2 linked regions of the Arabidopsis thaliana genome follow. The protein of the gene in region 1 interacts with the protein of each later gene in a pairwise test. Each region holds a gene or a part of one and is shown on either strand. Other genes may lie near its edges.

The links. The genes of interacting proteins can lie anywhere in the genome.
Region 2: the proteins of ADC2 (region 1) and AT2G25280 interact in a two-hybrid assay, tested with the Arabidopsis thaliana proteins (one large-scale study listed by BioGRID).

What each region holds. Positions count from the first base shown.
Region 1 is NC_003075.7:16,559,497-16,565,028, reverse strand, and holds ADC2 (arginine decarboxylase 2), read left to right. Parts: upstream 1-1,984; 5' UTR 1,985-2,578; coding exon 2,579-4,714; 3' UTR 4,715-4,999; downstream 5,000-5,532. UniProt on the Arabidopsis thaliana protein: Required for the biosynthesis of putrescine. Catalyzes the first step of polyamine (PA) biosynthesis to produce putrescine from arginine. Is a major contributor to basal arginine decarboxylase (ADC) activity and putrescine biosynthesis.
Region 2 is NC_003071.7:10,761,839-10,766,421, reverse strand, and holds AT2G25280 (AmmeMemoRadiSam system protein B), read left to right. Parts: upstream 1-1,611; 5' UTR 1,612-1,790; coding exon 1,791-1,842; intron 1,843-2,189; coding exon 2,190-2,274; intron 2,275-2,347; coding exon 2,348-2,416; intron 2,417-2,490; coding exon 2,491-2,603; intron 2,604-2,700; coding exon 2,701-2,812; intron 2,813-2,909; coding exon 2,910-3,053; intron 3,054-3,157; exon of another isoform or gene 3,158-3,176; intron 3,177-3,263; coding exon 3,264-3,438; intron 3,439-3,494; exon of another isoform or gene 3,495-3,657; coding exon 3,658-3,783; 3' UTR 3,784-4,063; downstream 4,064-4,583. Other genes in the region: Phox1 (Octicosapeptide/Phox/Bem1p (PB1) domain-containing protein / tetratricopeptide repeat (TPR)-containing protein), read left to right, coding at 67-230; AT2G25270 (uncharacterized protein), read right to left, coding at 4,064-4,435, 4,539-4,583.

The DNA of each region.
Region 1 (5,532 bases):
TTATGTAATTAGTATTTTACTAATTTTAATCGATTTCCTCTTCTTCTTTTTTTTCTTTATCTTTGCTAGTACAAAAATCAAGTTGTTTGTCAAAAAAGTGGATTTATAATTTAGTGTACCTTCTCAACAACTCAATTTATTGTGAATCGTCCAAATGATCTAGTGTTTCCAGAACTCGATACTTCTTCGCATTTTTATTAATAGTTCTATGTTTTCTCTTGTCTTTGAAGAATTTGTGAATACTTGGTTCTTTTGGCTACAATTTTAAGCTCTCGTAAGAATGTTATAACAAATGAAAACGAATATGACATGTAATATAGTGGTTTGTATTAGTGTTATTGATGTGCTACCGTCCTACTTCAAATTCGTATAATATATCACCGTTAAACGCAGAAAAACAAAAGAAGATTCCAAACAAGATAATGCACCAGAGATAGTCGGGCTATGATCCAAGGGAAAGGGATCACACCTCCCCTGCGATTTCCACTGTATATAAACTAAGTTGTTTTGTTGAGGCCAACTAAAACTCTTGTACCTTTTTGACCTAAATGATTATTTTGTGGTAAGTTTACAGAAAACTAATTTCAAAGAGCATGACAACCCTCAAACATTATAGTTTTTGGTATCGAGTTTGAGAAATCGACCAGATACTCTCGAATATAGTAGTAAGCTTTGGTATCGAGTATAAGAAATCGACCAGATACTCTCGAAATTAGTATGCTTTGGTATCAGGTTTAAGAAATCGACCAGATACACGATGTTGATCTAAGAAAGTATGCGATAAACAAAAACATGTTGAAAGAGAGGGTCACTACATTTATTTACATGCTTCCAAAATTTATGCAATCAAAAAATATGGCCCTCTAATGTTTTCGCACTTAACTATGCCTAAGGAAAAACAAGAACAAACAGATACCGTGGCAAATTCTTATCCGTTGGACTAAGAATCATAGATCTCGTCGTTGGATATCGTCGGATTTGATAATAACGTCACACGTACACGAACACTTATATATTCATTCGCACGTGAAAAGACGAGCGGCGCAATTTTAAAATTTAACCTAAAAAGGGCAAAAGGAGAAGAAGCAGAGACGAAACATCATAACACAACCACTTCCCACGTAAGGGCGCCACGCGGCGCCTCGTAGCCGAGTGTTCATGAATAAAGCTTTTTCTTTTTCAAACCAGACAGCATCAACAAAATTATCCCTGTATTTAATGTATATGTTTTTCCCTAATATAATACATTATTTAATCAGCAACAAAAGAACACTTTTACTATTGCTAACATGGAAATTTGTCGTGAAGAAAAAAAACAAAACAAAAGAAGGAAATTTGTCTTAAAACACAAAAGCAATTTTGTGTGTGTGTGTGTGTGTGTGTGTGAGATAAAGAGACATTGTTTTAGGGTTAATGGTCCATTAAGCACATGCAACTACCAAATTACGCAATTATTGGTGATAGACATATATAGTCTAAGCTTCAATTAATTAATGGTCCATCCATCTAGCGCAAGTTGAAAGCATAGGCTCCTTGTACCAATCTTTGAATACAGTTAATTTCTTTTGCTGTCGTGGTTTGAAAAAGAAAATGTCGATACATAACAGGCTTACAGAAAAAACCAAAAATGTTTAGTAGACGAGACCACAACACGAGTTACACGAGTTGCCAGTAATTCCCACTTCTCAGTGTAGGGAATACAGAAACGAAAAGATTATAAATTAAAATAGAATTAACAAAAAAAAAAAAAATCCACTTCCGTTGTTGTCCGGTAAATATATAAAGGTTATTTTAAAATTGTTCTCTAAATAAAAATCGTTCTCCAACAAAAATCTTTTTTTTTTTTTTTTGTTGGAGCAAAGCACCTAAAGAAATGTAGGGTAAATTTCTTTTAATAGAGGGAAAAAATACAATGTTGAAAGAAAAAGAAAAGTATAAAACGTAATCGTAAATGGGCCCCATGGCCCAAATCAAACTTGCCTCAGTCATAACCTTCTCACGTTGGTTCCTGATTCCCTAGTCCCTATATAAGCAAGTGCCAATAGCCTTCATCAATCTCACGCCTTCTCTTCTTCTTCTTCTTCATTTCCGTCTTTTCCGCTAGGTTTCCGTCTCTGTTTTTTCTTGCATTTTCCCCAGAATTCCTTCACATTCTCTCCTTTTCCTCTTTTTAATTCCTCACCACCTCAAATTCTTCATAAACAAATCCACTTCTGCATGGTTGGGAGAATCTGTTAGAGAATTTTTGTTGTTGTTGGGTTCAGATTTGGAAAATTTCCTTTTTTTCGAGTTTCTTCTGAATTATTCATCGTGGAGATTCTCGGATCGGGAAGGGCTGCGAGAGGTGGTTTTCACGGCGGGGATAGATTCATCTTCTGTCTTCTCCTGAGGGGGTAGCCGAGGCTCCGGCCTCGGCGGTTTTTAAACCCCTACCTTTACAAATTCTGGGAAATTAGAAAAAAAAAGGTTTGATTTTTCAGTTTTTGCTCTGTTCTTCTCTCGAAAGTTTTTGTTTTGTTCGAGAATTTCTGTAAAGTGAGATTGTTGATCGTTTGCTGATAAGAGGGTGAAGATAAAGATGCCTGCTTTAGCTTGCGTTGATACGTCCTTTGTACCTCCTGCCTACGCCTTCTCCGACACCGCCGGTGATGTTTTTATCCCGGCGTCATCACCAACTTCCGCCGCCGTTGTTGTTGACCGTTGGTCTCCGTCGCTCTCATCGTCTCTCTATCGAATCGATGGATGGGGAGCCCCTTATTTCATAGCCAATTCGTCTGGTAACATCTCTGTTCGTCCTCATGGCTCTGAAACTTTGCCTCACCAAGACATCGATTTGCTCAAAATCGTTAAGAAGGTGACGGGTCCGAAATCTTCCGGTGGTTTAGGATTGCAGCTTCCGTTGATCGTTCGTTTCCCTGATGTGTTGAAGAACCGTCTCGAGTGTCTTCAATCTGCGTTTGATTACGCGATTAAAAGTCAAGGATATGATTCTCATTACCAAGGTGTTTATCCGGTGAAATGTAACCAAGATCGATTCGTTGTTGAAGATATTGTCAAGTTTGGATCTTCGTTTCGATTTGGATTAGAAGCTGGTTCTAAACCTGAGATCCTTCTTGCTATGAGCTGCTTGTGTAAAGGTAGCCCTGATGCCTTTCTTGTGTGCAATGGATTCAAAGATGCTGAGTATATATCATTGGCTCTGCTTGGGAGAAAACTGGCGTTGAATACTGTGATTGTGCTTGAGCAAGAAGAAGAGCTTGATCTGGTTATTGAGCTGAGCCAGAAGATGAATGTGAGGCCTGTCATTGGGTTAAGGGCTAAGCTGAGGACTAAGCATTCGGGTCATTTCGGATCAACTTCTGGTGAAAAGGGTAAATTTGGATTGACTACTACTCAGATTGTTCGTGTGGTGAGGAAGCTGCGTCAATCTGGTATGCTTGATTGTCTCCAGCTTCTGCATTTTCATATTGGTTCACAGATTCCGTCGACTTCGTTGCTCTCTGATGGTGTCGCCGAGGCTGCTCAGCTTTACTGTGAACTTGTGCGTCTTGGTGCACATATGAAAGTTATTGATATCGGTGGTGGTTTGGGGATTGACTACGACGGGTCTAAATCTGGAGAATCGGATCTCTCTGTTGCTTATAGTCTCGAGGAGTATGCTGAAGCTGTTGTAGCTTCTGTTCGGGTTGTGTGTGACCGGAGCTCAGTGAAACATCCGGTGATATGCAGCGAAAGCGGTAGAGCGATAGTCTCTCATCATTCTGTGCTGATCTTTGAAGCTGTTTCAGCAGATAAACCAATGGTTCATCAAGCAACTCCCGGCGATATTCAGTTCCTGCTTGAAGGTAATGAGGAAGCTCGAGCCAATTATGAGGATCTTTATGCTGCTGTGATGCGTGGAGACCACGAAAGCTGCCTTCTTTATGTCGATCAGCTGAAGCAGAGGTGTGTTGAAGGTTTCAAAGAAGGTGTTTTGAGCATCGAGCAGTTAGCTTCTGTTGATGGTTTATGCGAGTGGGTGTTGAAGGCTATAGGCGCATCGGATCCGGTTCATACTTACAATATCAATCTATCAGTTTTCACTTCGATTCCTGATCTCTGGGGGATTGATCAGCTGTTCCCTATAGTTCCTATCCATAAGCTCGATCAAAGGCCCGGGGCTCGCGGAATCCTTTCAGATTTAACGTGTGATAGTGACGGGAAGATCAACAAGTTCATAGGCGGTGAATCCAGCTTGCCGTTGCACGAGCTGGACAAGAATGGCAGTGGAGGAAGGTACTTTTTGGGTATGTTCCTTGGAGGGGCTTACGAGGAGGCTCTCGGTGGAGTCCACAATCTGTTTGGTGGACCAAGCGTTGTCCGGGTCTCCCAGAGCGATGGACCACACAGCTTTGCAGTGACCCGAGCGGTGCCTGGTCAGTCCTCAGCGGATGTTCTCCGAGCAATGCAGCATGAGCCGGAGCTAATGTTTCAGACCCTAAAGCACCGAGCAGAGGAAATGATGCATACCAAAGGTGGTAGCGAAGGTGAAAATGAAGAGGAAGAAGAAGATGATGAGTTCAACAATGTGGCGGCTTCTCTCGACCGTTCGTTCCACAACATGCCGTATCTTGCAACTGAGCAGGCATCGCCAAGTAACTCTCTTTCAGCTGCGATCAGTAACCTTGGGTTTTACTACTGCGACGAAGACGTCTACGATTACATCTCTGCGTGAGAAAAGGTGGTCGTCGTGTGGTTTGTTGTTGCATTATATTATCGTAAAATCGTCATTGTACGATTTCTTTAAATAAAAGTTATTAAATAAGAACATGATGAGATCCATGATCCATCGTTGTTTAAGGTTTTAAGTAAGAAGATCCGAATTATGAAAGCCTTTTGTGAAATTCGGATCTTTTTATATTTATTTCCCCCTTCAAATGTAGCCGTTCCCGTTTTATTTATAATAATAATAATAAAAAAGTTTGACCACATAAAAGAAATAAATAAACGATGAATCGTGAATAAGTTGTTTTCAGTTTTCACTCTATAATAATTTTAAATAAAAAATATAAAAAATTGTCTAGTGGTATTTTTAACGGATCAGGTTCGCCGCATCTTATAACCGGCGTCGTGGGCCGATGTTGTTATGATGAGTGAAGAAGTGAATGTGACAACACACACAAGTATCACATGGAGATGTTAGATTCTGACATTTATGTGTTTTATCGACTGACATCTTTTATCTGTTAGGCTTTGGGAAGCGGTTAAATGATTATTTGATAATGTGGCTCATGATTGAGTGTTTTTAGCCGTATCTTGCATTATCGAATAGTGGTCTTTATTTTTAAGTCACGGCTTGGTGTGCAACAGGTTTCGTTTTACGTGGAGGTAATTTTTTGACATTATGCATATTCGAGATAACGTGTTGTTGTTTCCATTATACTTGTCCGGTTGTTGGCGATCGTGGAAAAAAAAGCATATAATACTGTAGAGAAAAAGGAAGGATTCAAATTTAAAGGTGAAAAGTTTGACGAATATGGTAATACTAAGCTT
Region 2 (4,583 bases), on another chromosome or scaffold:
ACTATAATCTAGCGAAATTACCTGCAAATATTGGCAGTGAATATAACAATCAAACAATAACTGTAGGTATGGGATTCAAGATCGATGAGATAGTACAGGCATGGAATGAGATGTATGATGCCAAAAGATGGCAGATTGGTGTCCCATCTTTCCGGCTAGAACCTTTGTTCCGAAGACGGTCACCGAAACTTCATGATATTTTGGAGAATGTGTTTTCAGGGCCTCAGTGACGAAACAGTCATCATATCAGCCGGCATCAGTTTTCAGTTTTTATAAAGGTTTGTCTGAAAATTCGGAGTTTTTCAGGTTGGTGTTTGATGAAAAACTAATCTCTTGATCTGTTCCAGCAATTGTTATTACAGGTATAGTATTCACTATTCATTGGGAGTTATACGCAAGTTTTCTTCGATTTTTGGTTTGGTTCTCAGCTTATGGAAGCATTGAAGCAATATTTTTTTTAATCTCTTGGCGGGTATTGCTGTGAAGAAGATGAGCGTGATGTTATTTTTTTTGTGCAGATGGGTTCAACATATTTGTTAATTCATTATTTCATTTTTGGTGGGTTTGTAATTATATCATAGTTTTGTATTTTTTTTTTTTTTTTTGGACAAAAGTTTTTTAACTTTTTTATTCATCGATTTTTTGGATTAGTCTTTGTATCTATGGATTGGATTGGTTATTAATTAATAAGATGGTGAATGTTTTTGGCTTGTGGCACTCAGAACTGTTAACCATCCTACAATTAGAAACGACGTGCTGTTTCTATTCTTGAAGTAGAATGGCAAGTTGTTAACAGGCATGGTAGATTGGTAGTGTAGGGTGAGCTACGATAGACTCGATGACGTTGATTCCAAAGAATAGCCGTTCGTTCTTGAAAATCGTTGATTCACGAAGAATAACCGATAACAAGGAAGATACGAGGATAGAAAACGATGCTCAAAAGAAGAACTCAAAGCTCTATATTAATTCAATAATCAAAAGCTGTCCTACAATAGAGCATAGCGGCTAACTTAAATAGAAGACACAAAACATAAAATCCTAGCCTAACGTCAGTGCCAAAGCTCAATAAACAATAGAAAATCAACATGAAAATAAAGCCCAAAACCATAATAAAGTAACCAAGGATCTACACTACACCACATGGGCATATTTAACCAGCATAGAACCGAACAGAACCAAAATTTGGGATTTGGTTCGGTTTCGGGTATTTATTTCATAAGAACTGAATGGTTCCAATTTGTAGAACCTAATGGTTTTTGATTTGGTTCGTGTAAAACCCACAGTTCTTTAGTTCGGTTCAGATTCTAGTGGTTTGATCATATTATTATGGTTTTGTATGGGTATTTTGGTTAAATCGGGTAGTTTGGTTACTCTTGGTTACACAACAACCAATCGAAACCGAAACCTTTTCGAGTCTTATTTGCTTCAAATTTGAATAATCCATATGGAACCGAATATTAATCGGTTCCAAATAGATTTACCAAATTTACATACCAGAATTACCTGAAAACCGAAAGAACCGATCCAAACGAAAAACCGAAGCCCAGGTACTTGTTGTCATGCGTATCTGTAAAGAGTGTAGTAAGGAAAAACAGCACGAATGTTTATAGGAAAAAATAAACACGGCACACAGTTTTGCACTGAGTTTCTTCCCCGAGTTGGCGAAGAAACCCAGAGAAGTAACACAACACAGAAGTAGAATCTTCTTTAGTCATCTCCCGCAAGTTTAGGAAAGCTCTGAAATTAGGGTTTTTCGTCTGCGATCACGATCCTTCAATTACTTTGCGATAATGGAGAAGATAAGACAACCAACACATGCAGGCTCTTGGTATACCGATAATCGTGAGTTCTGATTTTTACTTGCATGCTCAATCATCTTAATTTGGGCTGAAGATTAGGTTTTAGGTTTCATAATACTGATTTCATATTCTTATTCCTTTTGTTCTTCATTTGTTGATCATTGATTTTAGTTTAACTGCTTAAAGGTTAAAGTTTTGATATTGTGATTACTTAAATTCGTTTTGCTAAATTGGGTTTAATTTGATCTGATGTTTAGTATCTGGATTTAGGGTTTGATAACTCTAGAAAATTTCAGTGACTTTGTTTTTAGAAACAAATACATTTAGCAGTGAGGTTTGACTTTTTTTTGGTTTTTAGAATCTCAAGCCTGTTTTATGTTTCTTTGTCAGCTACAAAATTGTCATCTGATCTTGAAGAATGGCTTAATGCAACTGGTTTGACCAAATCTCCTGATGTACGAGGCGTCATTGCACCGTAAGCTGTTCTTGCTTATCTCATTTCCTCGGAGAAGTGATTACACTTGCACTAACTTTTTGAAGGAATCCAGACACGCAGGTTATTCGTACTCCGGTCGTGCAGCTGCTTATGCTTTTGCAAACATAGATCCTACTAACATGTAAGTAAGCTCGCCTATATTTTGGAAGAGTGTCATGAGTAGACCATTACTATTTCTGACTAGTCTCATTTCAGTTCACGGATATTTCTTCTTGGTCCATCTCACCACTTTTATACTCCAAAATGTGCCCTTTCGACTGCAACAGTTTATAAAACCCCCATTGGAAATCTACCTGTTGATGTGGAGAGTAAGTTTGTCTAGCTTAGCTTAACTTATCAAAGAAAGATTTTCTTTCAGTTGGTGAGGAAAGATGTTCTCTTCTGGTTTTCATATGAATTCACCAGTGATTAAGGAGATACGAGCTATGGGAAAATTTGGAATGATGGATCTACGGGTCGATGAGGCTGAGCACAGCATGGAAATGCACTTACCGTATTTGGCCAAAGTATTTGAAGGGTAATCACAGGGGTAGTAGTGATGTTAAGGTTCTGAATAACTATGAATGACATGGCGGAATTTGCTGAGACTGGCTCCATTTTAATATTTTGATCAGGAACAATGTGAAAGTTGTACCCATCTTGGTTGGAGCAGTAAGTCCAGAGAATGAAGCCATGTACGGTGAATTGCTTGCTAAATATGTGGACGATCCCAAGAACTTTTTCTCAGTGTCCTCTGACTTTTGCCACTGGGGCTCAAGGTTTGTCTTAGCTCTTCATCTCCTTTCTCTCATTGAAGTACCACATTCTGATGTAACGTTACTTTTGATGGACATTGCTTGAGAAATGATATCTTTTTCTCTTTATCTCTTTCTAAAATTCGCCTTAACTGCATAACCAGATTTTCTGAGGCCCTTCCAGTGAGCTAATTGCGCTCTGTTATGTTTATATTCATATGTTTTTGGTTATAGGTTTAATTACATGCATTATGACAACACTCATGGTGCTATACACAAATCGATTGAGGCTCTAGACAAGAAGGGAATGGATATAATAGAGACAGGAGATCCTGATGCCTTTAAGAAGTATCTTCTGGAATTTGAAAACACGATTTGTGGGCGCCACCCGATCAGTATTTTTCTCCATGTAAGTAGTGCTAGACTGTTTCTTTGCATTGGTCAATAACTTCATGAAAAAATAGCCTTAAGCTTGCTGCCTTCTTATTTAGTATCTAGATACTTTTCTTTTAGATGCAACCAATATAATGGTGAATCTGGTACTCACCGAGGCTACTTTGCATGTATCTGGTTTGTAGATATTCCTCACAACTTACTACTTCTGTTTTATGTTTGTGATTGCTTTCAGATGCTAAAACATTCATCAAGCAAGATTAAGATCAATTTCCTGCGGTACGAGCAGTCAAGCCAATGCCAGACAATGCGAGACAGCAGTGTCAGCTATGCATCTGCTGCAGCCAAGTTGGAAACATGAACTAAAGATAGTCAAAAACTTGGTGTGCAAAATTTCCCATTTGGTTTCAAGGTCTTTCAGGGTCGAAAAGTATAATCTTAATGCATATATCTATGCGAAGAACCTTAGAAAACCAAAGGTTTCGTGTTTACATTTCACTGTAATAACAAGTACAAGACTCTCCTTCATTGACTGGTATCTAAATTTTCATTTTTCTCAGTGGACTATGTTCAGACATGAAAGCACAAATCAAGTATCTTGAGACTTGAAACATTTTGCTTAAGATCTACAGAGACATACATCAAAAGTTAACTCTTACAATCTCCTTACTTTCAGAAAATTCAGGCAGAGCTTCCTTCCGATGCCTTCGCTCTCTACTGTAAATGATCCAGAACATAAGTGAGAGCATCACAGCCGTTGCTAAAATGGCCAGACCCACATAGACCCAATAGCCATAACGCTGTAGTCCAGGACAATGGTCATTCGTTATGTCTCTAAAGGTCTGTTTTGCGTATGAACAGTCCTGAAGCTGGACCAGGAATGGCGCGTCTCTGATCAATCCCGTGCTGATATTAACACCTGATGCCATCTGACTGTACAGCGCAGGTGTAAGCCTTCCTGTTGTGGTGCAAGTCCCGTTCTGGCTCACTTGGCACACGAAACTGGTCCATGCCTGAGAGTGTTTTGACATCACTAAGATTTCTTTGTACAAGTGCAATTTTATGCCTACTAGAGACAGTTTCAACAGTAAAGAAATTGGTCAGAGGGGGACTTACTTCAGTAGCATTGTTCAAATCGAGATCACCAGGCGAGCAAGAGCG